3 linked regions of the Tamandua tetradactyla genome follow. The protein of the gene in region 1 interacts with the protein of each later gene in a pairwise test. Links are inferred from orthologs where the notes say so. Each region holds a gene or a part of one and is shown on either strand. Other genes may lie near its edges. The genes, in order: MKRN3, FAM110A and TCHP.

The links.
Region 2: the proteins of MKRN3 (region 1) and FAM110A interact in binary tests that used the Homo sapiens proteins (3 or more experiments, as listed by UniProt). The two-hybrid records come from large-scale screens. The link is inferred for Tamandua tetradactyla from reciprocal best matches to the Homo sapiens genes MKRN3 and FAM110A.
Region 3: the proteins of MKRN3 (region 1) and TCHP interact in binary tests that used the Homo sapiens proteins (3 or more experiments, as listed by UniProt). The two-hybrid records come from large-scale screens. The link is inferred for Tamandua tetradactyla from reciprocal best matches to the Homo sapiens genes MKRN3 and TCHP.

Annotation. Positions count from the first base shown.
Region 1 is NC_135338.1:79,484,088-79,494,944, forward strand, and holds MKRN3 (E3 ubiquitin-protein ligase makorin-3), read right to left. Parts: upstream 4,669-10,857; 5' UTR 4,481-4,668; coding exon 2,849-4,480; 3' UTR 2,135-2,848; downstream 1-2,134. UniProt on the Homo sapiens protein: E3 ubiquitin ligase catalyzing the covalent attachment of ubiquitin moieties onto substrate proteins.
Region 2 is NC_135327.1:22,720,933-22,731,712, reverse strand, and holds the start of FAM110A (protein FAM110A), read right to left. Parts: upstream 4,640-10,780; 5' UTR 4,381-4,639; intron 1-4,380.
Region 3 is NC_135331.1:21,551,750-21,562,512, forward strand, and holds the start of TCHP (trichoplein keratin filament-binding protein), read right to left. Parts: upstream 4,819-10,763; 5' UTR 4,646-4,818; intron 3,302-4,645; coding exon 3,114-3,301; intron 2,380-3,113; exon of another isoform or gene 2,331-2,379; coding exon 2,126-2,330; intron 1,532-2,125; coding exon 1,475-1,531; intron 249-1,474; coding exon 180-248; intron 1-179. UniProt on the Homo sapiens protein: Tumor suppressor which has the ability to inhibit cell growth and be pro-apoptotic during cell stress. Inhibits cell growth in bladder and prostate cancer cells by a down-regulation of HSPB1 by inhibiting its phosphorylation.

The sequences.
Region 1 (10,857 bases):
TCTAACTGCTTGTCAGTCTCCTAAGCCACTTTATTTTCTATTAACCTTTGTTTCACTATATCTCCTGAATTTTATTATGATTATATGGTTCAATATATCATATAACTAATAACATGGGACTTCATCATATTGAGGTTAGCAGAGACTTTTCAAAGTTTTCTTGGCTCAGCTTTAACATCTGCCGCACCCCCTCACCCCGCCCCTCTCTGGAGGTCTTCCCTGACAACATAGTCAATATGCAGTTTAATTCTGAACTTTTGATGTTGGCACAGCCTTGATGAGAGTTTTCCATCTGGTACTGAACTTTGGAATTTTTTTAGGGAGGAGTCTAAGCCTTCATTTCCTTGAATGACCAGGTCCTTTCAGGAGTGGAAACATGATTTTATTTCATTTGGAATCTCTCAATTTTTATATCAATAATATCAGAGCACTAGGGGCTTTTTTTTTTTTGGCTGGAGAACTCTGGATAAATGGCGGGAGGGAAGGGATGTGGCAAAGCCCCCAGTGAAACAGTCTGAAGTATTTACCCAGAGAACCCGGAAACATAGTAAGGGGACAGGCAGCATAAAAATATTGGACCTGAGGCACATTCTGAAAATTGGACTGAGAAATCATCTAGCAACCTATACATAAAAGCCCTAAGGCTTTCATGCTTTTCTCCCAGAAGCTTATTTATGCCAAGTTCCAACCTAGCTGGCTGATCTACCTTCATTTAAAGTCTATACCCCTAGTTTTTAGCAGCCCTCTTCAGCAGGTCCACTTGCCCAGTCATATAGAGGCAGCATGGTACATGAAAGTGTTCTGTAGTCAGACTAACCTGAGCTCCGTTCTTTGTTCCACTAATTTACACCCTGGGTCAATTCTTGGGCAAGTACTTTAACTACCTCATTTACCTTTTCAGGATAATATGAAAAATTATAGTAGGTAATATTTAAAGTTGTTTGAGAATTTAGTGCATTAAAGAATGCCTAACACATGGTGTAAACTTTAAATGAGCCCTGCCTTTGTTGGATAGTCATTCCAGCTTGAATCTCCCAAGATTATTTTTAGTTACCTCTGTTACCTGTACAGACAACATACAGCATTCTATACAGGTCAATTAAGTAAACTGCTAAAATTGGGTTGTTCAAATCTTTTAAATGCTTACTTACTTACCTTCTTACTTTGCTTGTTCAAAAAATACTGAAAAAAAGATTTATGAAAATTGTCCACTAAGATTTTGGATGTTTCTATTTTTATTAATTATTTGCAGATCTTAGGCTATGTCATAAAATGTATATGAAACAAACATACTTAAATCTTCCTGGTAAATTGTAAATTAAATATTTATATAATATTTCTCTCCATTTCTGGCCATGTATTTCCTATCACTTTCAGGGTTTCTGCAGTCTGATGTTTTAGGTGTTTATTTTCAAAAGCACATTTAAATTTATTCTTTTATTGCATGGCACCGGGAAACGAACCCGGGTCTCTGGACATGGTAGGTGAGAACACTGCCTGCTGAGCCATTGTGGCCCACCCTGAAATTAAAATTTCAATTTCCATAAAATCTAATTATCTGTCTTCACTGCATATAATTATAGTGTATTTGTGTCATAAATTTGCCATAGTACTATAGTATTTAGTTTTTGGTCCTATCTATACTTTATTTTTTGTCTTTCCAATCTTTTATTCTGAGTGATTTCAGTATTTTTATTATTCTTTTATTTTTATAATTCTGTTACTTTTATGCTGAAAACTTTTCCAAAAGCCCCTAGTCTTGAAAGGCTAGAGATAACAAAATATTGATTACAAAACAAAAAACAGTGTATCTGAGCATAGAGTTGTGCTATTAAAAAGATAATGAGACAGTGCTAAACCACATAGGAACATGAATTTTTGCATTTAGGATAGCAAAGTGAGCTATTAGTGAAATCAAATGAATGACCCGCATATTTTATGTTCATTAGGGTCTGTGTCTGCCACACTTGGTCAAAACCATTTGAACAGTTGTTTTAATTAAATTCTAATCACTGAAGGCTGTGCAAGGACAGAAAGATTATTTACGCATCTTACACACACACACACACACCAGCCAATACTGTCAGCCTTTGACTTTTGGCTTCCAGAACTGCATTTATTTTATTACATAAACATATATATGTTCATATACATATTCTTTAAATATATATTTCTCACGTACATTCACTTATATGCACATATATGCATACATATAAATTCTTAAATATATACTTCCAAATATAAATAATTTTTATGTCAAGCCAAACAGGATAAAAACATGTAAACATATGCACCTGGTTCTCATCAAGTAAAACACTAAATCGTAAATAACCACGAGATCCACAAGATAACAAGTTCAATTCACAAAGGATGAGGGAAGGGATTTGCATGTAAACAAAGAAAGACGTGCAGCTGCACCACAAGACCCATAAGGGTCCATTCTTAAGGCTGTAGTAGCAAAAAAGCTCCTTGGTCAGTTAAGATTGCTCCCTTCACACTGTCACATTTCTTCTTTGAGGGACTTCAAAATTTTTGGAGTGTGGAAATTTTCTATACATTAATCTGGAACTGAGTGAGCCATGTTGAAACCAAAGGTGATAAAATAACCATAAGCTAAGGGTGACATTCATTTCACCAAACAATAAATTCAATGATTTTTCTGCTACTTTTTAACACAGAAAAACACCATAATCCTGACAGAAAATGAATTGGAATTGTGCAAGAAAACAGTGACACTACAAAAATTGCTTCCACAGCCACTGCAAGTGTTACACATGTCTATAAAGGAACACAGGCAATATCAGATGGCAAAGCCTCAGCAGCTAAGACCACAAGCCACAACACAATGCTACAGATTCAAATTAAAATATTCTTCCAACTCATACTGAAGTAAGTCCCACAGTTCCATGGAGAAGAAGCATGTGTCACCCCCCAGTGAAAGAAAATGCTTAAACAGCAAATTGGCCAGCTTAAGTGTGATAAGCTCCTTTCTAATCTTCCTAAAGCATATGCTGCCCTCTCTCACAGGCTCCACAAGTTGATTCCAGTAAGTACTATATGCCCCACCACCCTGCCCTGCAGGCTCCTCTGGAGCCTGGCCCTGGGGCTCCTCTGCAGCCTGCCCCTGGGCCTCCTCTGCAGCCTGCCCCTGGGCCTCCTCTGCAGCCTGCCCCTGGGGCTCCTCTGCAGCCTGCCCCTGGGGCTCCTCTGCAGCCTGCCCCTGTGGTTCTTCTGCACCCTGCCTCTGAGGCTCCACACCCGCACCCTCGGGGTATGCATGCTTGTAAAAACAATTTTCTCCAAAGGGGCAGCAACCCCTGCCTTCATCAAAATACCTGCAGGCTTTGTTGCTCATTGCTTCCTTGTACTGCTGAATTAATTTCTGCTTCTCTTCTTCCTCCTCCACCCAGAACTCACTGGGAATGACAAAGTTGGAGGTGACCCTGCATTGTGGGCATGACTTGATAATCCTGTACTCAAAGTGTTTGGCCCTCCTCCACACGCGGATACACTTAAGACAGTAGGTATGGTTGCAATTAGAGAGGATGCCAAAGCGGCAATCGCTTGGGTTGGCTTTCTCATAGACAACCTCCATGCAGATTCCACACACCTTGTCCATACTGCGTTGCACAGCAAACGAGAGTTCCATGTCCTTCTCATGAGCTTCAATGCAGGCTTTTATGTGCTCGGCTCTCTGGTCAGCATCCAAAGGGTGCAGGATGTGCAGCCCACACATATCGCATGCCTCTCCATGGAGGTAAGCACAATTCTCCCCACGAAAGCATCGTCCTGCGGCAGCATAGGGACAAAGCTGCTCCCTCATGCTGACTGCCATATGCTCCTTCCTAGTCACCGAGCTCCGAACAGGATGCTGAGGAGCAGAAAGAGCCCTACGGCCCCTGTAGGGCTGCCCGGGAATGAACTCAATAGCATCTCCCCAGGATTCTGCACCTGCTCCGGCAGCTTCAGAGCCTGCATTGTCAGTCTCAGCTTCAAAGAAACCCCTTTCAGCAGCCGAGCCAATCGGAGGCGAGGAGCGTGAAGACGCAGCAAGGGGGGCTTTCGCCACTTCCTGAGTCAGGGGCTTAATGTGCGCAGCCGTACTGGGGCCTTCGTCTGCAGAGGCCTGGGGCTGCGAACTACGGCTTTCACTGGCTGGCTGCCTGCCTGAAAGGTCATGAGAGTAACGACAGTTCTCCCCCTCCTTGCACAGCCCATGCAGATAATACCTGCACACGACTTGCCTCGTCCAGCTGCCGGGGCTTCGTCCCTGCAGGCAGCGGGGCCTGGCCCCTCCCCCTGAAGCCCGAGCAGGCCCCCGCACTGACGCACGGAAGGGGGCTGGGCCTGAACCTGCCGGCTGCCGGCGGGCCTCGGGGACCGGGAGGCCGGGCCCGGGGGCACCCCCCTCTGCTCCCTCGGCACCCGTAGGGGCCCCTGCTGCCTCGGAGGCTTCAGAGGGAGCTGCAGGCTCTTCCATGGCAGCTTCTTCTACCCGAAATGGTGCCGGAACTGCCCTGCGTATCCTCCAGCATGTCTTCCATTCGGGCTTGAGGCCCGGGAGAGCTGGGGGCGGGATTCTTTTCCGGAAGTGCACTTCTCACTTCCGTCCGCCCTTTTCCTGGTCCCTGTGGCTGTGCGTTCCTTCCTGGCAAGCCTGTCGGCCACTTCCTGTGGGGGCAGTGTTCGTCCTCTACCTCGTGTCCACCCACAAGCACTCTGACTGGACTTTTCCTTTGTTCACGTCATGCGACCCTTTTGCCCGTTCTCACGGCTGCTGCTTCTGCTCCGCTCACCATTTCTTTGTCTCTGCGGCGCTCCTGCAATTCCAATTCCCTTCTCACAGGGTCTGATCTGGAATTTATAATCAAAACCTTTTGGGGTTTTATTAAATCTCATCTCATTCATCCATTCAAGTTATATTAGCTTCTGTTTCTTCATACCAGTCTGTCTTTTTAACCATAAGCCCTTATCTCCTTACGTGTAAAAATTCATAAGTGATTTTTGAAAATTCTGTTTCTGTTCACTGCTTTATCATATGTCTGTGGGATCTGCATATGTTTCCTTCAGGTCTGTGGATTTCTAGTCTTCTAAGCTATTGTTTTCTGTGTTGTACTGAAAACGTTTTTTCATTTGGCTCTTATTGTTTGCAGGCTCAAATGGATTAAAGTTAGAGACATTTTTCATCAGTGAGTTGGTATCAGGGAACATTTGTGATCTGAGGCAACTTTAGCACCGTTCAGATGTCTTAATTTATTGTGGTTTCAAATTTTCATTTCCCGGCTGTGCAGAAGCCCCAGACTTTCCATTCCAGACGCTGATTTAGTAAGGCACAGTGCCATGACTGACCCTTGCTTTTACTTTCTTTTGCTGGTTTAACTCATGGAGAGCCTTTGTCTCCTTCCTTCTTTCTTCCCAATCATCTGATTCAGGGAGTTTGGGCTGTATTGTGGCAGCTCAGCCTTTCAGAGCATATTCTTTATCACACAACCCACAAGTGGTGCTTTTGAGTTTCCTCATGTGTGAGCTCTTTGTTGTATTGCAGATGCATTTTAGTAGCTTAATTAAATTCTTTTATGTTCTTAGTTTGCTAAAGGTATTTACCGTGAATGTATGCTGAATTTTGTCAAATAATTTTTATGTTTACTGAGAGATGATCATATTTTTTTTTGCTTTTACTCTGTTAATGTGATTATTTAAAATGATAGATTTTCAAAAATTTCACTTACTGTTTTTCCAATGAAACCGTTATGTGTTATGATGTATCATGCTTTTATGTATTATTGGATTTTGTTTGTAAAACATATTTCTTAGAGGGAAATTTTAACCTGAATTTGTATTGTAAGTTGGAAGAGAGTGTGAGTATTTCTGATATAAACATTCAGTACAACAAATTAAATCCTGATTAAATAAAAGGAAGCAAAGAAAACATTGAAATAAATAATAAGAAAAATAAATTAATAAAAGGAAAAATTGAAATAAGGAAAATGAATCAAGCAAAAATTTTTGAAAGGATTAATAAAACTGATAGATTTCTGGTGAATCATAGCAAGAAAAAATTAAGAAGGTTTAAATAACCAAAGCAAGAAATTTAAAACGTGGTATCACTACATGGTGGGCATACATTTAAAATCATAAGGTGATATCAGGAAAAAGATTAGGCCATTAGACTGGAAAATGCTTGTGAAGTCATCATAGCCTAGAAAACATCTATTAATAAAAGTAGCATGAGCAGAAATAAGAAATATGAATATTGTTCAATTAAGTGAATTTAATCCGTAATTTAAAATCATTCCCTTAAGGAAATTTTTTAAAGCGTAACCTCAGAAATTTAAAAAGCATAAAGGCTCATTTTTGCTATTGCAAATCCTAGCCACTGAAATAAGGCAAGTAAAAAAATGAATAAAGTTTGTTAAAATTGTAAAGGAATTATTGATGAAAGACAGTAGAAACTTGAGGATAATTTGCAGATAAACTATTAAAACTAAAAAGTACATTTAGCAAGGCCCTGGATAGACGCACAGTATGCGAAAATCAGTTGTATTTATATATCATCAAAATATTAACAATTTCATGAGCCTATATAACATAAAAAGATAAATATCCTGGGTTTTAAATTTATATAATATAATTAAAATGTTTTTATTTAGGAAGACATAAATATATTGAAGAATACTACATAACCACAATATTTTAAAAAGATAAATTAATCTTAATTTGATAATCTTATGAGAATACTGCTGCTTTTTATCCCACCGAGAACCTTTGTACTCCTGGTGATTTTGTATTTTGTTTTCCTTTTCATGTTACTGAGTTTTGTATTTCATATGCATCTCTTCTGAAGTCTGTCTTACTCGCACTCTCTGCGGTAGACTTTGTCTTTCACGGTTAGTGAATATTCCTTCGACAGCTTCAATTATTTTCACATGAAAAAGACTCAGAGCACTGATATATATAGCAAGCTCAGTTTCACAAAAGCAAGAATCCTGAACTTGGAACTACAACTTGTTTCATAGTATTTTGTTCCAGCATTGTGTCCAGATTTTGTTATCCTCTTTTTACAGACCAGCACTCTCAAGTAGAATGCTCTGTGGTGATGAAAACGCTTGATATACATGCTGCCAATTATGTAGTCACTTGTTTCAGGAAGCCACTGAGCACTTAATTGAAATAATGCTAGGATGATAGAGGAAATTAATTTTCACTTTATTTTTAATGTGGTTCTAGAAATTATTTGACCATGTAGTTTCAAGGACAAAGAAACTGAAAAGTAGAATATTTACCTAATCTGCCTAATGCTCTGCAGCTGGGGAGAGGCAGCATTTGCTTTCAAATCCCTCCCATATAGCTCCTAATTGTATTCATGTCCTTTTATCTCACAGTGGACTGTATCCTGTAGTTTTATAGTGATAATATCTCATAAAATTAGAAATTAAAATTAATTCCTATGTTTTAAATACCACATGAGATCAAATATGAAATATTGGATAGTTCATCTTGGGAGAAATAAGCAAATATTTCCTAGCCTGGCCAAACCTCACTCCTCAGAGGATCTTCTCTTATTGCCTTAGTCCAGATCCCTGTCCTAAATTTTTTTATGCATGTGATTTGTTTTCACACCGTCTCTAAGAATACATATCTGATATTTGCACTAGTTTTTTGGCTCAGCTGAGACCTCCTTTCCCAATAAGATGCCTTAGAACTTCATGAGCTAGGATTTAACTGAAACTTTCTTGTATACCTAATACCCTGCACAGCAGCACCAGCATCTTCTGGCTGGTCAACAGCTGGGTTATGAAATGGAATGAAAGACAGCAAAGCTGCACCTGAGCAGACTGGGCTCAGCACCCAGGTCACCAGAGAGCATCATGAGAAGGGGAGAGGTGGTTTACACAGTTGAGGCAGTAACAAGTAACCCTAGAGATGGGTCACTGGTTCAGAAGTGGACTGGAGGGATGGATAGGAAGGAACTTGAAGGTCCTGAAGTCTTGAGGACTTGAGGCTTGAGGAACCTGAGTGGGCAATCTCTAAGGGACCCACTAGATATGCTGTATAGAAATTATTTTGAAGTAATTTGTTAGCAATGTACTCAGGTGTGGTGAATCAACTGTGTTTGTAAATGAATGAGACTATGAGCTGTTTCCAAATACGGAGCTCTCCACAAGGGCTTTTCTTGTAGAAAAAAAATATTTTGCTTCCATTGACCTAACTCACCCCACCTTCAGCCCTTTGGCCACCTCCAAAGAATCAGTGGAGATTTGGAGATTGGGCAAATGGCTGCTCAGAGGATCCTGGAGGACTACTGAGCCATTTCCAACTCTGCCAACTGTGCAGGCACTAAACAGCCATCTTGGTTAAGTAGGTGTTTGAAGCCAGGTGACATGCCATGGTACGCCAGTGACCTGTGTTATGTACAATGATAGCATTGCCATTGGTGAGACATACCTACTGTCTTTCCATGTCAGACAGTTGGTCCCCAGGGTCTCTCAACATACTGGGGGTGGGGATGGGGCGGGCAATGAGGGTATTACTGCCAGCAACTTAAGGTCTGTAGGCAACAGGCTGAACATAGGGGAAGCAACAATTTTCTGCAATTTGGAAAGTCACTGTTTGTCAGGTTTAGCCCTCTCCTGTAGGTACTATTTCCATCTTACCAGTGAGGCTTCAGTGGTCATGCTGAGCTCCTGTTGGGGATTCTCTCTCACTCAGCATTATGTGAATCTGCATGTACAGGATGACTAGTTGGGGCCCTGGAAGCACCTTCATTTAAAAAGAGCCCGATAAGCATCCAGGACTTGCCATGCTCAGTTTAGGGACTCTAAGAGCATATTCACAGGTATCCAAGGCCTCTAATTTGTAATCTGTTCCTGATGGGACAAGGGTTTGGGAATGACTTATGCAAATTCTATGATGCATTTTTGGGGCTTTCCCTAGGAAGCCAGCAGATGTATGTGTGATTTATATATGGGCTTTAATGAGAGTGGGAGATGTAGTATGTGTTACCTCTAGAACACAAAGAGGTGTTGTGCATGTCTTAGTATCTGAAGTAGGCTCTGCTTCATTGTGGTGGGACTCTGTCTGCCCTTAGAGGACCAGATTATGTTTAGGGCTTTGACAGAGATTTCATGGCTCTTGTATTTAATAAGGTGCTATTGCCCAGTCTTGTTTCTGTAAATGATGGTTGAGAGTGAGTAGCTCCTCTTGGATTGTTGCTTTAGAGTCACCCCTTAATCAGAGGTATGTTATATAGTGCCAGTATTAGACCATTTTTTAAAGACAATTTGTTAAGGTTTTGGCAGCAGTGGTTAGTAATTTTTTTTTACATATTGACACTGAGTAAATCCTATTGGGCAAGTCATTCTTGGCAGGTCAATTGCCCATCTCCTGTGCATATCTTTTATTAATTAGATGAAGTTAGGAATTGGGGCTCTGATGGGCAGGACTTGTACATGAAGGTTGTTATAACTGAGGATTAATCACTCTTCGTTGGTGAAAGCTTGAAGAAAACTGGCTGAGTAGAGCAGTTAGAGGGGAGATGGTAGACATCACGAATGACTCACTCTTTGAGGAGATATTGGATTATAGGCCCAGAATACCTTGTTTCAGGAGATATTGCCATATGTATCACTTTGATTGGCATGGTCTGTTCCACAGCAGCCCCATTTGACCTGACCCATCATGGGAGCCAAGGATTTGATCTTATTCTAGATGTGTTAAAGCATAAATGCCTGTAATGGGGAAAGTGTGAGCAAAAGATGCCGCCACTGGAGGCAGAGGTTTAATAAGAATTGTTTCAAAAGTCACAAGTCCAGGGTAGAGGCCATGTGGACATTTTCTGGGTGACCACTGGGGCCTGATAAGCCAGGCTCTGTGACTCTGATGTGAGCCCTCTCATGTCCTGCTAAAAATTCCACACTGCATACACCCGTGCAACAAATAGGAGCCCTGCCTAGAAGGTTGAGCAAGGCCTCCCAGGTACACTGGCAGAGGTGGTTTCTTGTAAGAAAATTTCCTATGACTGGATGTCAAAGGGGTCCTCCACAGGGCCAGAGACAATCCCAGTTCCTTTTGTCTGAATGCCAAAGAAATGGCTGGTAGTCCCTGCCTTGGTATTAATAGACAGCATGAATAGGTGTGTGCTTTATTTTGCTAAAGCTGCCAGAATGCAACACACCAGAGATGGATCAGCTTTTAATAAGGAGATTTATTTAGTTACAAATTTATAGTTGTCAGAGTGTAAGAATAGAGTTAGGTTTAGCTTTCACACAAAATAATGCAGAGTGGATAAAAGGAAACTAACTAAACAAAAGGCAGGAAAACCAACTCAAGTCTGTTTCACTGACAGGGAAAGGAAAGAGCCACTAACAAGCCTTAAAATTGGCATCAAATCCTTATTAGATAAAAACAAGTCTAAACAAATAACAACCAAGGTCACTGGGATGTAAAACATAATCAAAAGCGGTATCTGTTGATGGAAAATTTAAATGTTAGACTACTCAGATAAGCTATAACCTCTGGAGCATCCAATCAGTGGAGATACAGGGGACAGAACTGCTTGTTAGGCTTAGGGGATAAATGCTAATGTTTTCTGTCACTTGGCATGGCAGCCACCACATTTTGGTTGTGTACCCATTCTTGCAGGGTCATTAATAAATTCTTTTCTTCTCCATAATTGTAAGCCTTTATTCTCTTTCAGGTATGACTTTCTTTCTAACAACTTTGGGGGCTAATCCAGGATCCAAGGCTTCAGAGGAGGACCCCTAGGGAGGATAAACAGAAAGCTTGCCCTGCTGATTGAGCAGTGTCAGACTTTGCCATTGGGGGTTCACTTCTGATAGCCAGGAGGACCCAAAACTG
Region 2 (10,780 bases), on another chromosome or scaffold:
GTGATAAAACTAACAAACAATTTTCATAATAAAATAAGAACTAATCTTTCCTGAGACCTTCCCTTGTACTGGGCACTGTTCTAAGTTCTTTGTATATGTTATCTCATTTAATCCTCACACCTCCCAGTGGGGTAGATATCTCTATGATGTCCATTTTACAGATGAGAAAACTGAGGCCAAGAAAGGTGGAGTTTCTCACCCAAGGTCACAAAACTGATAAATAGCAGAGCTGGGATTTGAACCCAGGTCTGGGGAGGAGATAGTCTTCAGTGTTGGCTTCAGCCACTCACAGGGTATGTCTGAATCCTGAGGAATATAGAGCCTTCCTATCTGGACCCCAGGAGAAAAAGCCATCTCAGGAACCACTTCCTGGCTATGGCTCTGGACCTGTTTCCTCAGTTGTAAAATGGGGACAATGGCAACAGAAATTTTTGCAACAGACATCAGATCTCATCACTGCTCTGTTTAAACCCTCCTGTGGCTCCCCATTGCCTCAGAATAAAGTCCAATCTCCCCACTCAGCCCTCAGGTTGTGCAGACCTCACAGGCCGGGCCCACCTCATCCCAGCCTCGCTCCTGCCCTAGCCTCACTGCCCTCCCCGCTGTGCCCAAACAGACCAAGCCAGGTCTTTCCTGCCTCAGGCCTTTGTACCTGCTGTTCTCTGCCTGAAACCTCTTTCTTCAAGTCTCACCTTGAACGTCACCTCCTCAGAGGTTTCCCAGACCATCCTGAGAGGCTCCCACCAATTCTTTTTCAGTCCCTTTTGTTCCCTTCTATGCATTCATCACATCCGTCATTTTGGATATTCACTTATTTATCTATTTGCTTCTTGTCACCTCCACAGGGCTGGAAGCTCCACCAAACCTTACTGTACTCTTCCTCCAGGGACCAAGCATAAAAGGAAATAACATTTACCAAGTGGTTGGACTGGAACCCAGGCCACCTCAAAGGTCAGTGCCCCTCAGTGCCAAGGTCTGCCCCCTGCCTGAAGCTTCCCCAACTGTCTCTTTCCTCCTCCAGTCTCAAGTCACCCTCCTTCAAGCTGGGCTCTGGCCACCTACAGCTGAGCCCTGTTCTTTCTGCACATATGCCACATCCAAAACTTTGCACATGCTGGGTCCCTGCCTTTTTCACTCCATCTCTCTGGTCAACTCTATAGGGGATGTGAGTCTGGACTCTGGAACCGGGTGGCCTGGGTTCAAATCCTGGCTTCACTAGTGATTAGCTATGAGACATTGGGCAAGATCTTCAACTTCTGCCTGCCTCAGTTTCCCCAACTATAAAACAGGACTCCTAACAGTGCCTCCCTCCCCGTGTGAGGCCTGTGCATGACAAATGCCATCAAGTGTGAGCTGTGATGAATATTCAACCAACCAGATCCTCCACTGCCCAGACACTGGGCGAGGCCTTCATCAGAGTGACAAATCTGAAAGTAGCATGAGTAACAGTTAAGAGTGCAGAGTCGAGAGCACTCTGCCAGGCTGCCTGGATTCAAATCTAAGCTCTGTGTGACCTTGGGCAGATTACTGAGCTCCCCTGGGCTCAGTTTCCTTCTATGAAATGGAAGTGAGAAGTGCAGTAACTCCCTTACATCACAGAGTTGAGGGAATTAAATGGGTTCATACATGTAAAGCACATCGTGAGTGCTCAAGAGGAATTACTGATTTTGATCCCTTGTTAAGGGGGTGGGAGCTGTGTTTTCTGATGTTTACAGTACCGTGGCATTCCGCACACTCCCCTCTTCCTTCCATCTGCTTCTCTCTTTCCCTCCAGTGGTAGCTCAGTTGGGACTTGACGGGAGTCGGGGAGGCCCCACCTGCCCCAGAGGGGATCATGAAGGCTCCAGGCAGCAGGGAGGGGGCCCCGGCCGGTGGGGCAGCCTCAGCTCCATTTCAGCCCAGCTGTTCAGGTCAGAGACATGCAGCCTGGCACCCTCCAGGGCCAAGCCAGTGCTGTGCTATTTGTGGAGTCTCTCCGGACACTCACGCCTGGGCCTGCCCAGGATCCGGCCCTTCTCCTCAGGAAGGGAGAGGTGAGCAGGCCATAGGAGAGGTGCTTGACTCACCTGCTGCCCACCTGTACCACATGGCCCCTCTAGGCCTCAGTTTGCACCTCTGAGAACGGGGACAAGGGGCTTTCAGTGGGGACTGAGCCTCAGGGCTCACCTTCATGACTCTGTACGTCAGCCTAGAGGTCAGAAGAAACTTCTGACCTACAGTCACGGAGCAAGTCAGTGACAGATCATGGGTAAGGCAGTGGTTTTCATGATCAAATATATAAATTCATAGTGTTGGGTAATAGATTCACATGGCTCAAAATTTTAAATGAGTAACCAAAGTCCCTCCCTGTCCCCTCCCTACAGGCACACTATGACCAGATAGCTATGTCCTCCCAGGATGCATATTCTTTCTCTTTTTTTTACACAAATGGCAACATGCTGTGTGTGCTGTTTCCACCCTTGCTCTTTTTACTCAATAATATGTATTGTTCTGGGTGCCACAACAGCACAGAAAGAACGTCCTTGGCCCTGTTCACAGCTGCACGGTATTATTTCCTACTCCTACTGATGGGCGCTTAGTGAGCGTCCAGTCTCTGCCCACTACAAACCACACCGCAGCATCACTGCAGCGACATCATTTTTTGCCTGGAAGAAATGCCTAGTGGGGAGACAGCTGGGTGAGGAGCACGCACTTGTAACCATGTCAGAGACGGCGGGACTGTGCTTGGTGGAGGCCATGTGAGTTGACCTCCCAACAGCATAACACACAGACAGTCTTCAATAAATGTTAGCTTCAGTTGTTGTGAAGGTCATTACACTCCTGGAATAACGTCCCAGCTGGCTGACTTTTCACTTTCTAAGGATGCTGCAGATGGGAGGGGATGAAATGGAGGAGGCAGGGGTATCACAAGGCAGTGAGAGTAACATGGACAGCCTGTTGTCAAGCACAGAGTAGCTGCTACCCATTGTCATCAACAGAGATGCCAGCTGCCCTTCGTATTAAACCACTGCCACCTTTTCATACCATTTTCCAGATGAAGGACTGAGGTCCAGCCCAGAGGCACCCAGCCTGGCTCAGGGGTTTTCTCGCCCAGCACCTCCATCCTAGAAACATTTTTTTAGGGCCCACCCCTAAAGCCCGGAAGAATTCAGGTGTTGATACTCTCCCCACTGTACAGATGGGGAAACTGAGACCCAGAGAGGGCCACAGATGTGCCTGAAGTCACACAGCAAATCAGCAGCAGAAGCACACGGGAACTCAGATCTCTACCTCCTGGTGTGTCTGTGTCTCCTCCAATCCCTTGGCCTCATATGGCCCAAATGCCAGGGATGGAGACTCTGGCCTGCCCTGGTGACATACTCTGCTTCTCCCCAGCCACAGCCCCATCCCACCCCAGGCTTGACCCACCCCCACACCTTTACTCCTGATGCTCCTTCTGCCAGGAATGTTCCCACCCAATTGGAGCTTCCCCAACCTTCAGCTCTCAGAGTCCAAATGGCCCTTTCCCAGAGCCCTCCCCAGATTAGCTCAGGGGCACTGTAAGCACTCTCAGAGCCCTCACCCCCTTCCCACTGCAGCACTGAAATTTGACATTTACATGTGTGATTTTATGCAGTAAGTGTGTGACCATAAAGACAGGATAGGATCACTATTTCTGATTTCTCCTTTTACTTTGGACTTCAGTGTGGCTTGGCATAGCACTGTTCCTGCTCCTCCCCTGTGAAGGGATCCAAGACTGTCAGATCCTATGATTCTGAATGTCTAGTATTCTAAGATTGAAGCCTGATGCACTGGGAGCCCACTCCAGATTTGCCAAATCTCACTGTGGGACTTTGCAGCAAGGCCCTTAACTTCTCAGAACCTCCGTCTTTCCATCTGCAAAAGGAGACCAACGATAGCAACCTGAGGCATATAGGGGTCCCTGGAAAGTAGGGCCTGCTCCCAACTCCACATGGGGGTGTGGTCTAACCGTCTATACTGACTTCCCCTGCCCCCAACCTGGGACAGAGTCACAAGAGGCCAGTAACGATTCCGGGGGCCAGAGCATCTGCGGCTCACCCAACATATGGCCCGGAAATGCCAGTCCCGCTTGCTCCCCCCTCCCTCCCCTACCCCTGAGCAGCGGCTGGAATTAGAACCCTGGGTCTATATTAGGGGCTGCGAGGTGGAGCAGGAAGACCTGAATTGAATTCACTGCAAGACATCGCCCGACCAGGCCACTGGCCTCTTTGAGCCGCCGGGTCCTTATTTGTGAAATCGGTACCACGCCTCCCCGCAGGTACGACACGGTGAGGACGCACACAACAGGCGATCGGTGAACAGTGTCGCCCCCTCGCACCCGAGCCCCACGCTCGCGCCCCGGACCTCCCGCGCCCTCACCTGGAACCCGCGTCAGGTGAGTCCGGGCTCCTCCAGCGCGGGTCTTGGGAAGGCTGACAGCTCGGACCCGGGTTGGTAGTGGCCGCTCCCACCGCGGGCCGGGAAGATCCAGCCCCTCGTGGGGACCCGCAGGGGCCTCTACAGAGCTGCTCTCCGCACCTGAGAAGGGCGAAGGATTCTGATCTTCCAAAGGCCCCCACCGAAGCGAAGGTTCCCTGGGGCGCGGAGGAAGGGGAAGTGAGAGCACCGCTGTCCACCCTCCCCCACCCGCCGGAATGGTTCGCCCCGGACATCCTGATTGGTTCCTCACTTCCGTTCGAACGCCGCGCCGCGCAGGTTGCCAGGCGACAGCTTAGCGTCGGTCTAAAGATTGACGCCCCGCAGCTCCGCACGCCTGACGCTTCTCTCCCCGCCCGCCGCTCGTTTTTTCCGGTGGCTGCTTTAGTCAGGGAGCCTGGTTCTTTCCTTTCGTTCTCCCTCTGCCTCTCCCAAATGGGGATTTCCTCCGGGTCCCCAGCTGGAAGAAGCACCAGTGAGCGGCTCTGGACTGGTTTCTGATGCCAGCTTTGCAGCTAAGTAGCTAAATAGCTTGGGCAAGCCCCTTCCCCTCTCTATTGCCCCGACTACACAATGAATGGGTTAGTTTTTTAAATGTGTATATCCTGCAGCCCCCAAATTTATCCTAAGGAAATGATCGAAGACGTGACCAAGGAGTGATACAGCCCCGTGTTATTCACCATAGCAAAGTAATGGAAACAAATACCCAGTGAAAGAGGATTTGTTATATAAGGTCTTCAAATGGAATAATAACAATAAGAGATAACTATTGAACTTTTTACATGCCAGGCAGCTTTATATGACATAACTGTCCGTGCTCACTATAATCCACGTAAGATAGGTGAGCATTTAACTACACCCATTTTCTGATGAGGTATATTATGCAATCATTTCAAAATACTTTAAGGACGGTGTGACGGTGGCTCAGTAGCAGAATTCTTGCCTGCCATGCCAGAGACCCGGGTTCGATTTCCGGTGCCTGCCCATGCAAGGAAAAAAAAATGATGTAGTTAAAAGATATTTAAAGATAAGGGGGAGATGCTAAGGGTGTATTAAATGGGGGGAGAAAGCATGTTTTCAAAGCAACTTTTACTGCATATAAATATATGGTAAATGCATAACGAAGCAGCCCAGGTGCATATGTATAATTATTTATAATTACAGCGATTAATTTTTTCTCTGTGCTTTTATGGATCTTCCATATTTCCAACAATTGAATTTGTCAAAAAAAAAAAAGACATTTTAAAGGGGTTAGAATAAATTAATTCCAAGGGCCCTTCAAAATGAGGAAATTTTGTAACAGTGATTCACTGGGTATAGGATTTTGCTCAATTTGGAGCCAGCTTCTGTTTCGTTCTAATTGGTATCTTTCATTTATTCATTGCTCAGCCAATGATGCAGCACTTAACTGTGTCCATAACCTGGGCAGCCACTGAATGGATGGGCACTTGACAATATGTCAGTAGCTAAAAATGATTTGTGTACCCTGGCACAAGCACCAACCAAATCAGCACAGATAGCATCATAAACAGGGAGTCTGGCTCTACCTGTGAGCACCAGATAACATGAAACCTGGCACTAACTATGCTCTTTGCTAGATTATGCTCGAGGCTTTACACAGGTTATCTCATCTGACTTCAATACAATCTGAGTAGAAACATCCTATTATTTCCTTTTTTTTTTTTTTTTTGATGAATAAACTAAGACTTGCCTGATCCAGAACCAGAGCTCTGAACCATTCTTTTGTTCCCCTGTAAATGTGCATAACTATTTGGCATTAGCTTCAATAGCAGTGTTGAGAGAAGGCAAAGAGGGTTCTGTGATCCTGTAAAACAAAAGTGAAATCTGACCAGGGGCAGATCTGGGCTTTCCACAGCTTATACTTACTGTGCCGGTTTGAAACTATTGTGTACCCCAGAAAAGCCGTGTTCTTTAGTCCTGACTCAGTATTGCTGGGTGAGATCTTTTTGATTAAGTTGTTTCCATGGAGATGTGACCTATCCAATTGTGGCTAGGACTCGTTTGATTGGGTGGTTTCCATGGAGCTATGTCTCCACCTGTTCAATTGCTTACTGGAGTCCTTTAAGAGGGAGCCATTTTGGAAAAAACTTCAGAACTGACACAGAGGAGGGACCTTTGGAGATGCAAAAGGAAAATAACCCCAGGGAAAGCTTTCCAAATGAGAAGCCAGGAGAGAAAGCCAGCAGACTTCTCCATGTGCCTTCCCAGCTGGCAGAAAAACCCCAAACCTCATAGATCCTCTGTTGAGTCAAGGTATCTTTCTCTGGTTACTTCAGTTTGGACATTTGTTATGGCCTTAGAACTATAAGCTTGTGACTTAATAAATTCCCTTTTTAAAAGCAGTTCCCTTTCTGGTATATTGCATTTCCAGCAGCATTAACAAACCAATACGCTTATACACTTGAAGTGGACGTCTTTAAAAAAAAGAGCACACAACTTCAAATATAAAATTAAGCACAAAAGTGAATAAGATAAAAAACACAACAAATAACAAAGTATTAAAAGTTGACAAATTCCACACAAAAAAAACCCAGAAAAAAATGGCATTATTGTTATTAATTAATTACCTCTTTGACATACCTCTAAAATTCTTCCCACATATTAGCTTCTGGCTCCATGTGTACATTTCAAACCTCTCCTCTATTCCCCATATACTTCTAATGTCGGGTACTGTAAGCCCATTCTTGTCAATATGACCTCTGACTTTGTACCTTCATGTCGCAACACCAGTTGAGCAAGCATAGTGTCTGTGGTAGGGTAGGGATATTCCTGAAAGCCATTCTTATATCAGGTCAGTTAGTAATAATTTATTCACAAAAGTGACTGGAAACAGCATAAATATATCTACTAAACCCAAGCAAATGTGTCCTCAACTCAAAGTCCCCTTAGCCACATCCCCAATGTCATCCAACCTACCCCCAACATTACCTACGGCAAAGAGAAGTTGGAGTACAAAGAGATGGTGGTTTGAGCAGAGTGCAGCTAAAATATCTTACCTTGGCAAATTTTGCAAAAGCATATGACCTTGTGAACACATTGCTAGGGTGCCTCCCAGAGCTCAGCGTCCCCATCATTAAAATGGGAATGACAGCCATGGTGTCCTGGTCAGATTCTTCTCTGAGATGTACACTTTTAATCAGGGGTTGGGAGATCATTGAGATGCCTTGATGAAAGGCCCTGCTGACATCTTCAATGTTTCCCTTTGTCCTGCAAACCCTCGGGCTTAAAATAAACAAAACTAAACAAAAACTCAAAAGCTCATTCCCAAATGAAGAAGTGAGGCAAACAAGAGTACAACAAACTTCCCCGGGACCCCAGATTATGCCACTGAAGAGAGATGATATGGGTGCAGTCAGATTTGAGAACTTTGGACATCTGCATCTGCCAGCAGCATATTGGCAATGTCCCCGATCATCAAGGACCTGTTAAGCACCCAGTGCCAATTTGGAGCGATTGACAGTGTCCCAGGCCTTGTCCACCCCCAAGGTGGGGGTATAAGAATAAGAAGGTGGACAAGCTGTCATGAGCTGCGCCCGGAGCTGGGCAGCCCTGATGGCCTCACCCTGGCCCAGCACGATTGAACAGCAATAACCTCTTGCCCTGTTGACAGGCCCGTGGCTCGTTCACTGTGGGCTTCGTCTCCTCCAGAGCCCTGAGCTTGGTAGATTTTTCTCCACTCAGCTCAAAATCCAGATGATATCAGCCTCAGATGTCAGCTCTGTGTCTCCATCAGCCTCAGATGTCAGCTCTGTGTCTCCATTAGCCTCAGATGTCAGCTCTGTGTCTCCATTAGCCTCAGATGTCAGCTCTGTGTCTCCTGGGTGCCCATGGCTGTGTTTTATTTTGTTTCTTTTAATCTAAAGGGTGTTATTGCCATACAAATTTGCTTGCATCTAACTTCTCTGGAAGTGGAGGTTACTGGGGTGGCTGGGACACAGGGGAGGGAGGAAAGCTTTTTAGAAAATAGTGTTTATGCCTTTGGATTTTGTATCTTGTAAATATATTATCTATTAAAAAAAAACATATGTGTGGAAAGCAGTTTGGTGGTTCCTCAAAAAGTTAAACATAGAGACACCATATTACCCAGCAATTCCACTCCTTGTATATATACCCAAAAGCATGAAAAAGAGATACTCAAACAAATATTTGTATATCAGTGTTCCCCGCAGCATTATTTACAGTGGCCACAAGGTGGACACAATACGAATATTGAATGGATAAACGAAGTGTGTCTCTATATGGTGGAATATTATCCAGCCATATAAAGAGTGAAGTTCTGAGAGCTGCTACAATATGAATGAATCATAAAAACGTGTTAAGTGAGAGAAGCGAGGTACAAGAGGCCAAATAGTGTATGGTTCTGTTTATATGAAATATCCAGAATAGATAAATCCATGGAGACAGAAAGCAGCTCAAGCAGATTGGCGGTTGCCAGGGTCTGGGGGAGAGAGGGAAATGGAGGTAACTGCATAATGGGGTTGAGTTTCCTTTTGGGGTGATGAAGATGTTTTGGAGCTCGATAGAGGTGGTGGTTGTACAACATTGTGCATGTACTAAACGCCGCTGAATTGTTCACTTTAAGATGGTTGGTTCCATGTTTTGTGAATTTCACCCCCGTGACTTTTTTTAATACATAACATGTGTAAGGATAGTCTATGAGTGAACAAGAGAGCACAGCGAACTAAAGGAAAATACAGCCAAGTACCTCCAAACACCATGGGCAAGAAGGCAAACGGGGATGCCCGTTCGGATGAGTGTTAAATGCCGTCCGAACGGGCCTGTACTTGCATCACTTGTACAAACTGACCCCAAGTAAATGATGGAGATGCAGAAAGATTTAAAACAAGAGTGTTCACCACAACATTGTTATTAATTAAAAGTATATAAAATTAAAAAGGGGGGAACAACCTAATTTCCTGGCAACAGGGCAATGAGCATGGTGAATGGAACTGGGATGGAATATTATACAGCCATTAAAATAAGGTTTTTGAAGAATACTGAGTAATATAAGTAATATGGAAAGAGGTTTTAATAGCATATCTCTCCATTTATTCTCTCCACAAATATATTTATTGAGCACCTGCTACATGACCGGCCTGGTTTCAGGTGCTGGAGGTACAGCAGTGCTGCCAGGGAACTGACATTCTACCTGGGGAGACGGACGCTACATGTGCAGTGAGTCAACTCAGGTTGGCCAGGGTCAGCTGCCGAGCCGGAGCTGAAAGCCAAGGGGAGCTCTCTGGGTGGGCCTTGGCCAGGGCTGCACAGGGGAGCCCTGATGCCGCAGCCCCACGCCCAGGGATTCAGATCATTAAAGCTCATGGGGCAACATGTCTCCAGGAGTCACTCCCATGCCCCAAACTCTCCAAGGCCTCCCCAACCCGCACTGACTGCCCCGGCTCTCAGAGCTGCCCGCTGGCAATTGCTTCTCCTACTACCCTCGCCTTTAGCCCCTCTTGCTCCAGCCTCAGGGCCTTTGCACTTGCTGCTCCCTCTTCTAGGCTGCTTCCCTTCCCGCTCCCCCCACCCCCACCCCAGAATCACCTCCTTCCAGTCTTTGCTCAAACACCATCCCCCCTGGAGCCTCCCCCACGGCTCACATGGTGTCTTTTCATAGAGCCCCAACCTGCCGACAGCTGGTGTGTTCAGCTGGCTGTGTGTTGTCCGTCTCCTGTACCAACTGTGACCCCCCCGGGGACAGAGCCCACCCCACTCTTTCCCACTTGTCCCACAATTAGAGATTTGCAATTCATATCATCATATCAAAGGCTCTGAGGACCACTGGAGCAGAAACGCCTCTTTCTCTTTGCTTACTCCACTGTTTCCCAAACATATTTAACCCTGAATCCCTTCCTAAACAGTCCACAGAAATAGTGAAACACTGTCTCGAGAGCGTGTCTCTGGAATGTGACGGGGGACACGTGCTCCTCTACCAGCATCCCCCTCTCCCTTTTTACTTTTTGCCATAGGTAGGCTCCAGGAATCGAACCTGGGTCTCCAGCACAGCAGGCAAAAATTCTGCCACTGAGCCACCGGTGCACCACCCCTACCAGCACCCCCTTTAAAGCACAGATACTTCCCCTGGGTGAGACACAGAGACCATCCTCTGCCTCCAGGTCCCTGCAGTCCATGCCTCTCCAGCCACCAGCGATGCCTCCAGAGAACCAGGTGGCACATGCAAAAGAATCGGGGCCTGCACAGCATTCCAGCTCCAGGACACACCTGCTGGCCCAGCCAACTGTGGGCCACTCAGCCACCAGGTAGGACCCTCCTCCCTCTTAGGCTCAATTTCTCCAGCTGTGCAATGGAGGTAATAACAATG
Region 3 (10,763 bases), on another chromosome or scaffold:
CCTGAGGATGATCTCAGAGGACTCTATAATGTGCCAGAGCAAACACTAACATGTGTTAAGTAAACTTAGAAACCCTCTATTCTTTGCGTAGAGTTATTAATACTGAAAACAGGAAACAAAAGAGATGGAGCCTCTCATATTGTAGCACATAGGACTATTTTGAGAACCATATACCACACCTGTTTTTTTTCTTCTTTCTGCATTTCCCAAGAGCTTATAACATGCTTCTTGTGAAGGTCCAATTCAATCTGAGGACGAGAAGGGGGAGAATATTATTTTCCTCACGGGTGCATCTGATATTCATCATGGGGCTGATGTACTATCTTCTGGGCCACAGCTGGTACATGACTATGACATTTCTTTGAAAGAACTCAAAGTGGCCCAGGTACCCACTTCAGAACAGTGAGCAAAGCACAGCATGGTCTGAATGCAAGTAAGTTGGAAAACCAAATGATCAGGTGCTTCTGAACCATTCTCCAGAGCTGGAACAAAGTAACAGACTCTGTCCTCCCAGTCCCCTTTGGGTTGGACAGAGACAGTCAGCAGACACTGAAAAGGAAATACAATTTCAGAAGGCCACTGTGGTTGGTCTAAGACCATGCGGGCCACAGGGCACCTGAAGTCACCTGGGGGAGAAGCAGACTCAACCCCTGCCCAAGTCCCCAAAATTCCCTTTGCAAAGCAATAGCTGTAAAAACATGTGCTTCCCTGTATCAAACAATGCACTACAGGGTTAATAATAAGAGGTTTAAGTTCAGAGAATCTTTGGGTTCAGAAATAGAATGGAAATACTCTATCAAAAAGCTTTTTTTGGGGAAATTGTTTATATGGGTTTTAAAAGTTTCTTTCTCAATTTCTAACTTGAATGTTTTGAATAAACCTGTCTGTGAGTAAACAGTTTTGGAGGGCCACCTAAGTCAACAAATGCCCATTTTAGAGCCATCTGTATAATAATAATACTCAAAAGCACCTAGCTATTCTATTATTCAGTGACTGGCAATTTCTAAATGTTACTGCAAGTGCATAAATTAATGATACCAAACTATATAAAGTTTGAAAAGTGGACTGAAATAAATCAATGCTATGAGTGACGGAGTTCTTTCCTTCTAGCCCAATTTCCTTATATTCCCTCTTGGCTGAATGATGCCATCTTAGCCAGGACCCTGCACTGTAACCATCTGACCACTGTCTCTCCACTGCCCACAGTCTCCCTTCAGGACTGCAAACACAGGTACCACATCTAATCTGCACGTCCCATGTGGTGGACCGGGCAGTGGATGCTTAGTAAATGTTTGTTAAACAAGTGAATGAACTGTTGCTCCAGTCCACTCCAGCTGTTCTGCACAGGCTCGTCTCATAGTTAAGCAGTTCCCTCCTTTGCCTCAACCCAGCAAAAGATGCAAGTTTTTAAAAAGGCTGCAAACATGAGTTCATCTACTTAGGCAAATCAGTGAAGGATCTCCTTAGTTTTTACCTCTCGAAGTTTGGGGTTGTTCTTTTTCCAGTGGTCATACAGAAGCTGCTCAGCAATCTGTCAAGAAAATACAAAGGAGGCCTGATGTCATTTTCCAAATCTACTCACTCTTCAGACAACCCGCAATGGGAGTCAGCTCAGACAGCCAGGCTAACGGCGCCTCCACACTACAACCTCATTGTACCCAACCTTCACTTGCTGCCTGCCTTGCAGCCCCAGCTATGGGATCTAGACTGCCAGAGCAGAAACAAGAGCACCGAAAGAAGAAACGACTCTCATGATGGCAACGGAGGGGGCAAAAATCTGATGCCACACACAGGTTGTATCTAGGAGATTTCAAAAGGTATAGCAGGCTTAAAAACACACGTTGGAGCTCACTGTTCCAAACGACTACTTTGGAAGATAAAATATACCATGCTCAGACCTTTGTGGAACCACAGAACTGGAATAAAGTAAAAGGACTCGGATGTAATGACTTGTGTGTGCAAAACACACTACCTGAACAAAGACTTAGAGTTAGCACTTTTCCCAGCTGTCTCTGGCATCGACCACCATCAGATCAGAGTGCCCAGGGGTGATCCCACGTATACAACACTGACAGGCCGGGGATGCTCCTGCTCTTGAACCTTCTGAAGGTCTATGGGACGTTACCAGTTTCCTTTGCTCTTCTCGGGCTGATTTCAGATTCCCATGCCGCTCCCGGATTCTTCTTTCCCGTAGGTCTGTGCTCAGGTCCTCCAGTTCTTTGGCCAGCAGGTTCTGCTCCTCAAGCAGAAGCTGCCTGAGCCTCTCACGTCTGGCCTCCAGACTCCTCCTTTTCTCCTCCTTCAACTTCTCCCGCTGATAAGCATGCATGCTGGGTGAGAAGGATCCCACAATAAACCACTCAGACTACAGCAGAGGCTCTGCGAAAGACCAAAGGTGGACATACCGTGGTGACACAGATAGGTGCCACCCAACCAAAGTGGAGAGAGCAGATTATAGGACAGGATGCAAAACAGAATTTTGTATCCATAAACAAATACTGTTATGCATGTGATAACGTATAGGTAATATTTTTTGAGCAATTACCACAAGCCAAGGACTAAGCTATACATGTATCTTTATATGGATAGTTTTATATTAATCATAGCATAAATCCTAAAGAAGGTTCCATTTTAGCCTACTTTACTGCTTGGGAAACTGAGCCTTATTCATATAGTAAGTGACACAGTCAGGATTTCTATACAGATCTGTCTGAATCCAAAGCCTATGCTTTGGACTAACATGTATTTCTATAACAATGGATGGATGTGTGTGTGTGGGGGGTCTATTTATACACAAACACAAATGGGAAAAAGTATGGGAGGATATGTACCCAACTGTTCTCTCTGGGGAGGCGGTATTACAAAGAGACTTCTAGGCGCCACTTCATATACTTCTATATTGTTTTATCTTTTTTTTAATGTGTAACTTTACATATGATTTTTTCTTTAATTTCCAGTTGGAAAAAAAAAATCACCACTATGCAGGTAATCTATGCTGTTCAGCAAACCCCTCAAGAAAATATGTAGTCAAGCCACATGTCCTTCCACCACGTCCTATGACCAGCCAGAGTGGCCCCCCACTTCCACCCAGCTGGCAGTCACCGCGCAATTACCTCCGCTGGTAAGAGGACTTAGAGCTCCATTCTGCCTGTTTAGAGCTGCAGATGTCAGACATCCTGAAGTAGCGACTATTCTGATCCCACTGCTGCCGAAGCCGGGCCTCCTGCTCTCGCTGGCGTGCTAACTGCTGATCCAGAAGCCTCCGGCTGCACCAGTAGGAGGGCAGCGTGGGCAGTGCCATCTGAGAACAGCAACGGTAAGAATATGCTCCAACTGCAAACCCCAGGAACCTGTACAAGGCTGGCATCCTTTTACTCAGTGGTCTTCACCCCTGTCTGTATATTGGAATTACTCCGTGGAGTCTTTAAAAATACCCATACCTAGGCCTCACCTTCTCAGAAAATCTTAGAATGGGGCCTAGGCATTGGCATTTTAAAAATGATCTGCCACCCGGGCTGCAAATCACTGATTTAATAAAACCAGGATGTACCCAGATGTGGGCCAGGTGTTATCAGAGGCACTGAGGACAGAGACAGGGGACCAGTCCCAGCAATGCTAGATTTGGCATATTGGGGACTTCTGTACTCTTCATAAACTAACAGGGACAGTAATTTAAGGAACATTTGTATGTACCCAGCATCTGTCACATGTATAACCCTTCTCATTCTTACCACCACCCCATTATTTGGCAGATGAGGAAACAAGTTCAAAGAGGTGAAGCACCTTGCCAAGGCTCACACAGCCAGAAAGGAGAGGAAATAAAAGACCTGGGATTCTAATTCAGATAGGTCTGAGTCCAGAGCCCCGGGTCTGTCTACTGCAAAAGGCTCCCTGTTGGGACAAATATGCCCTGGTTCTAGCAGCCGCAGGCGAGAGGCCAGGCAAGGAGTCACACCTAGAAGTCTTCTGGGCCCCCACGGAGGGCAGATCCCTTATCTTACAGTTGAAGAAACTTCCTCTGAGAGAGAGGAAGTGACTTGTCAGGGGTTGCGGGGCAATCTGGGGACACAGCTAGACTAAAAAAGCAAGCAGTCTCACTGTAGCCAGGACAACCTTCCCCCAGCCCACAGCTGTCCTCAGGTACAAAATCTACACAGTCCCTGGCTATGGTAGTGCTTGAGGAAGGTCTCTTGAATAAGCACATGGGTCTGGCACCGCGCCAAGAGTCTCAAACTCAAAGTCCTTCAGAAGCTGCAGACAAATAATCTACATCTATGCGTCCAATTCGGCCTACAGGCCTGCGACCTCTGTTTTGAGACTTTGGCTGGCCTGACATGCTTTTTTCCCCTTGCCTTTTAAAAAAGCCAGTGGATAAATCTTTGCACTAAATTTAAGATCCAGCTCCCCGAGAAAGCCGTTTCCCTCTCTGAGCCTCAACATCCACATCGAGCAAACGGCCGGGAGGCCTCGACCCCATGTCTCGTTAGTACCACAGTGAGGACCGGAGCCCAGGTTTCCAGGCTCCCTGCGGCGGTATCCCTGGGTCCTCGCTCCCTTTTCCGCCAGCGCCCGGCCGACCGCGGCCAGAGCCTCTGAGTACCAGCCCCAACGCCGGCTCCCGAAAGAACTCAGCCTCCAGACTCACGTTTCTCCGCGCCTGGGAGTTTCCGAGGAGCCCCAGGCCCGCTAGATCCCGCAAGGCCAGATCAGGCTGAGCAGATGCCAGAGGCCGGGCGGAAACTCTTAGCACTGAAGCCGACCGTTTCCCCGCTGGTTGTCCCGGCAACGGGCCGGGAGACGGCGCGCCGCGAGGACCAAGTTTCCTCCAGCGCAATACTGAACGCTCTAAGGAGAAAAAGGAGACTGTACTTTTTTCTAGCGCCCCCTCGTGGTAGGAGGGAGATCAATAGCAAACTTCGTCGGTTCTTGAAGTAGGGAAGGGCGAGGAAAATAATCCACTCAGCATACAAAATTCAGGATAGTGGTTACCTGGGGTGGCAGGAAATCAGGGGGCTAGGATAGGGGAGGATAATATAAGCCAGTGCTCCTCCAACCGGGCAGTACATGAGAATCAGCTGTGCAGCGCTTCAAATCCCAGTCCCCAGACAAATTACATCTGACTCTCTGAGGGTGGGGCCTGGATAGCCTGTTTTTCAAAGCTCCCCAGTTGCCTTCAATATGCATCCAAGGTGAGAACCACTAACGTTAAGTAGATGCAAATTATTGATAATTTTCTATTGTAGTCTTAGACTGGTGGTTGGTTCTCAGTGTTCATTCATTACATGAGTTACAAGTTTTTATGCATCGAACATTCCATTAAAAAGATAATAAAGTAAATATCCACTCTTGCATTTGTTCCATCTTTTCTTTCATTTTTCCATTCTTTTCCTCACTTCCTTCTTTCATTCTTCCATTCCTCTATTCATTTCTGTCTTTCCTGGACGCTGTTTTAAGAGCATGGTCTCTGCAGTCAGAATGCCAACGCACACCATGCTGGCTGGGGGGTCCAGGCAGGTTGCTTCCTCTCTCTGTGCCTCATCTTCCTCATCGTTGAGAGTTCTACCTTCTAGCGTTGTCCTTGGGGGAGTCAGTAAAGGTATGAACAGAACAGAGTGCTTGGGGCATGGCAGGGGGGCTTGGGGGGGATTTCTTTCACATTTCCTCTACCCCACAGACATTTACTTGCTGTGTACCCTGCCCCATGCACAAGATTCCCCCAAGGTTGGCCTCTGCATTGGTCTGTACCCACTTGGCCAAGTTCAGGATCACTCTACCATATTATGTCACCAGTGGACAGAGGCAACCACCTGCTGTGATCAGCTCAGTCACAACACAGTGGGGCCTGTATTAGTTTGTTAAACTGCCTGAATGCAACATACCAGAAATTGAACAGCTTTTTCTTTTTCTTTCCCTTCTGCATGGGCAGGCACCAGGAATCAAACCTGGGTCTCCAGCATGGCAGGTGAGAACTCTGCCACTGAGCCACCATGGCCTGCCCTGAATGGCTTTTAAAAAGGGAATTTAGGGTGGTGCGATGGTGGCTCAGTGGCAGAATTCTCGCTTGCTATGCCAGAGACCCAGGTTCAATTTCTGGTGCGTGCCCATGCAAAAAGAAAAAAGAAAAAGGGAATTTAATAAGTTACAAGTTTACAGTTCTAAGACTGAGAAAATGTACAAAGCCACCAATAAGAGGTTACATTCACTAAAGATAGGGTGTTACCTTCCGGAACCCCTCTGTTAGCTGGGAAGTCATGTGGCTGGCATCTGTTGTCCCTGCTCCTGGGCTCCATTGCTTTCAGCCTCTGTTCCCAGTGGGGGTTCTCACTTGGCCGTATAGACTGCTAAGTCAGGATTTGAACCCAGGTCAGTCTGATTCCAGGGTCTGGTCTCATGCCTCTGTCAAAACTCACCCCCCTCACTGCTGTACAAACTTTTTAAAAATGTTGATACCCAATTTACTTAATCTACAAATGGAGCATATAAATCACAGTTTCTTTGGGCCTTAATTTTTCTATCTATAAAACCATAGTACTGTTTTTTACTTAAATTTTGAAAGTCTGATTCCTAGTAAGAAATGTTTATGCCTCTCCGTTTGACTGATTAGAGCGCTCTCATGTGTATTTTTGTTGTAATATTTTAGCTATTGTAAAAGGTAGTATTATTAATCTCAGCAGCAATACAATTACTAATGGCTTTATTTTCCCTTTCATAATTGCTTGTATCATTCAGCAAATACTAAAGAGTGTGGCTGATCCTGCTACAGAGATTTCACATGCCAGATTTTATTCTAAAGCCATGATGTTATTATTGTCCTGGTTTAAAGTTTTAATTTAATGACTTAAAGGCTTTTTTCCCAAAAAAAACTCCTAAAATAAGTTTTTCATTGTAATATTATTTTTTTATGCTTAAAGTGAAATATGTAGTCAATTAATTTGTTAAGATATCACATAATTTTATATATCACATATATAATTTATATAATTTTAGGGGTGGATAACAGCTCAAGGGGCCAATTCTAACTCACTTTTTCCAAATAAACATCTACTTGTATAAATCACTGCAAATAGATTTCCATCCTTTTACTCAAAAAGACTGCACTGGAGGGAGCCAAAAGAGAATCAAATATTTTGAAAAACTGCGCAAAATTGCAAACTCATAAATCCAATCATATCTTAAATGGCATTCATCCAACAAATATTTACTGATCACCCACTATGTGCCAGGACAGATTCACATTGAAGGAAGTAATAGCTTCTAAAATAAAGTAAAAATTACTGTTTTTTTTTTCTCCTGTAAAATGCCCTAGTAATCTGCCTCATTCTGTTGTAAAGATATGATAATATGTCATACATGAAATTGTGAGATGTTATTAAAATATTTACAAAAGAAATCTTGATGATTTCAAGGACATGTTTTAGGGGTGTCTTAGGTAGAAATCTCTGAATATGGGACGATGCTGATTTTTTTAATTGAAAGGTTTTTTTCAAAATTTTCATGACAATAAAGGAAGTGGTAAGAAAGGATTATGTCACCTAAAGAAAAAAAAAACTCACCCCCTCAGTGGTAGAATGCTAACCTACCATGCAGGAGACCCAGGTTTGATTCTGAACCATGCACTACCCCCCCCAAAAAAAACAAAACCTCAACCCCCTCCCCAGCCTAATACTTCCAGTGCTTAGGGAGAAACTCCAAGTGTTCATTGCAATTATATAGAAAGACAATTGATTTTTTTATAGAGAGCTTCTATTCTGAGACCTTGCTAAACACACTCATTAGTTCTAGAAGTTTTGCTTCCAATTCGTTGGTATTTTCCATATAAATAATTATGTGGCCTGAAAAAGAGGCACTTTTATTTCTTCCTTTCCAATGAGGATGGCTTTTACTTATTTTTCTTGCCTTATTACATTGGCAGGTATTGAATTACGGGTTAATTTGTGATTCTTCTTTTGACTTACGTGTTTTCTGAAATGAGCACATATTAGTTTTGTTTGTTTGTTTGGTTGGTTTTTTTGTATGGGCAGGCACCCGGGTCTCCAGCATGGCAGGCGAGAGCTCTGCCACTGAGCCTCCATCACACCAGCCCGTATTGGTGTTTTAATAAGAAGCAGCACAGTGGAGGGCGTCCCCCTGAGGAAATTTGCCTGCCCCTGGTGCCCTGCAGGTATGCAACCTCCCATCAGATTCCATTCTGTAAATCGGGAGAGCTCATCAGAGCTTGTTCTAACAGGCCTTTTTCTCCTGTGTGCAGAGGAGGCTGGAAAATGGATTTCTGCTCCAGAACCTTCTATTCAGAACCCTCAAGTAGCTCAGTCTGCTTCCATCTGGTGGAATATATTTCTCTGATGGAACAGCACTGACCTTTCTTTTTCTTTTTCTTTTTGGTATTTGTGGTGGTTTGTATCCATAGACCCCAGAAAAGCATGTTCTTAAGTTTAATCCATCGCTGTGGGTGTGAGTCCATTGTCAGTAGGACCTTTGGATGAGGTTACTTCAGTTCGGGTGTGGCCCCACTCAGTCAGGCTGGGTCTTCTGTTTTTGGTGGGAGGGGGTGGGTTCATGATCTGGGAATCGAACTCGGGTTCCCGCATGGAAGGCGCGCACCAGGAGAGTGCTATTACCAGGATCCTGTATGAGCAGAACGAAACTCAGAAAGACAGAGAGCTGTGGGAAGCAAGAAGCCGAAGGTCCACAGAACCCAGAAGAGGAGGGAGTGGTCAGGAGAGGCCGCCATGTGCCAAGTGACAGAGAAGCCCAGGTCCAAGGATCACCAGCAGCCAGACCCAGGTTGCCACCGTCTTCAGGAGGAAAGCATCGCCTTGATGATGTCTTGGTTTGGACTTTCTCTTAACCTCAAAACCATGAGCCGTTCAATCCCCTTTGTTGAAGCCGCCCCATTGCATGGTATTTGCTGGAGCAGCCAAAGCAAACTAAAGCACTATTTATATTATCTTTCAAGGAGAGCATGGTGTGAAGGATGAAGCCTCTGACCAGCTACAATTATTTCGTATCTCTGAGCTTCAGTTTTCTCAACTGTTAAAAATGGGGATACTCGTACTGGTTTGTGACTATTATTAACAGCTGCCTTAACGCAGTGCTCGGCCCCTTATTAGAACTTGAGGGATGACACTCACTGGTATTATAATTGCCTTCATACTGATCATTTCCTACGTAGGCACCTGCTTCAGTAGGGCTGGGTTTATTTCCTTCTGTGCTAGAGGAAAGAGCTGGGAAATGTTAACTTATTCACTCATCCCTCATCAGTGACCAAATAGCTGTTCCCCCAATGTCCTTGCTCAAGCTGAACAACCATTGGGATGGGGTATCTACCCCTCTCTACATGGTTTGGGGGTGAATCCGGATTAGTCTAAGCCAATTGTGGTTGGACCCACGCTCCTTGTTGGTGACTGGGCAGACGGTGGACTTCTGCCTCATTTTCCCCTAAGAAGATGACTTCTAGGGGCAGGGAGTTGCCGGGCGTTGTCGCATCTGCAGGAGCCCGCGGCACCTCTGCAGCCACACTGGGAGGAGCTGCGTGGCCTTAGCAGATCAGGAAGGGGGAAGAATCTGGTCCCTGGTGGTGATGGACACCTCCATTCCCCCCTGGCTTGGGGTCTCTTTTTAGGAGACAAACTAAAGGATCTTATTGCTGAAGGTTTTTCAGTCACCAGCAAGCCTCCCCATGAATAGACTTTCCCCAAGCACCATGTGTTCAGAGTGTAATTCTTGAACCACTTACCAAAGCTGCAAAGAAGAGAGTCGGCCAGTAATTGCTTAGCATGTATTGATCTGTGCCTGTGAGACCTCCCTTTGGCCTCCAGCTTCTCTAGGAGGTATGGGTTATCGTAATCCCACTTTGCAAATGGGATTGAGGTTTGGGGACAGAGGACTCTCCATGGCCTGTTTAGTGAGTCAGGATCCCAAAGTCCAAGCAGCTCCATTCCGTTGGGCTGTCAGATATGGGTACATGCCACCAAGACAGGGCAGCAAGCCAACCCTATTTTTCTATGGCTTCAATGGACATGGCACCCCCTGGTCCATTCCTGATGAGCAGGGAGCCTTCGCTTCCTAAGATACTAAGTCTCAGACTACTGATGGGCAATGCTGCAGCAGCTCCTGTCACTCTGCTCAGCACCCTTCTATGGCTCCCATTTCCCCAAGCACAAAAAACCACGCTGTGAGCAAGCTCATAGGCCCCTGCATGGTCTAACCAGCCCCGCTGGCCTTCTTTTTAACCCCGACCTCCAAAGTTTCCACTATACTGTTCCCTCTTCTTGGAAGGTTATTCCCCTCTGCGAACTCCTACTCAACCTCTAGGTCTCAGGTTAAATGCCCCTTCCTCTAGGAACCCCTCTCTGATCCCTTCAACTAGGTCGGATCATGCAGCCTCAAGACACACATGTATTTCCCCCCCAGAGCATTCATAGCAGCCTTAAATATATATTTTTAAATATTAATGCCACACATACACATACTCTACTGGAAATCCCATTAGAGCAGGGACCTTTCTGTCTCTTCCACTGTGTAAATGGCCTACAGTAGGTGCTTAATAAATATTTAGTGAATGAATGAATGAAACTATGACCAATGGGCACTACTCTAACAGTTGTCACGTGCAGCAGCTGGAGGAATGAGGGAATGAGCTAGAGGTTAAAGTCCGCCCATCCTTTCCGAGGGCCACACCCCTGCCAAAGGTCTGCAGAGAACCTGGCAATGTACCGGAGCTGGTTCCTTATAATTAGGGGCAATCCCTCTTGAGCAAGTGC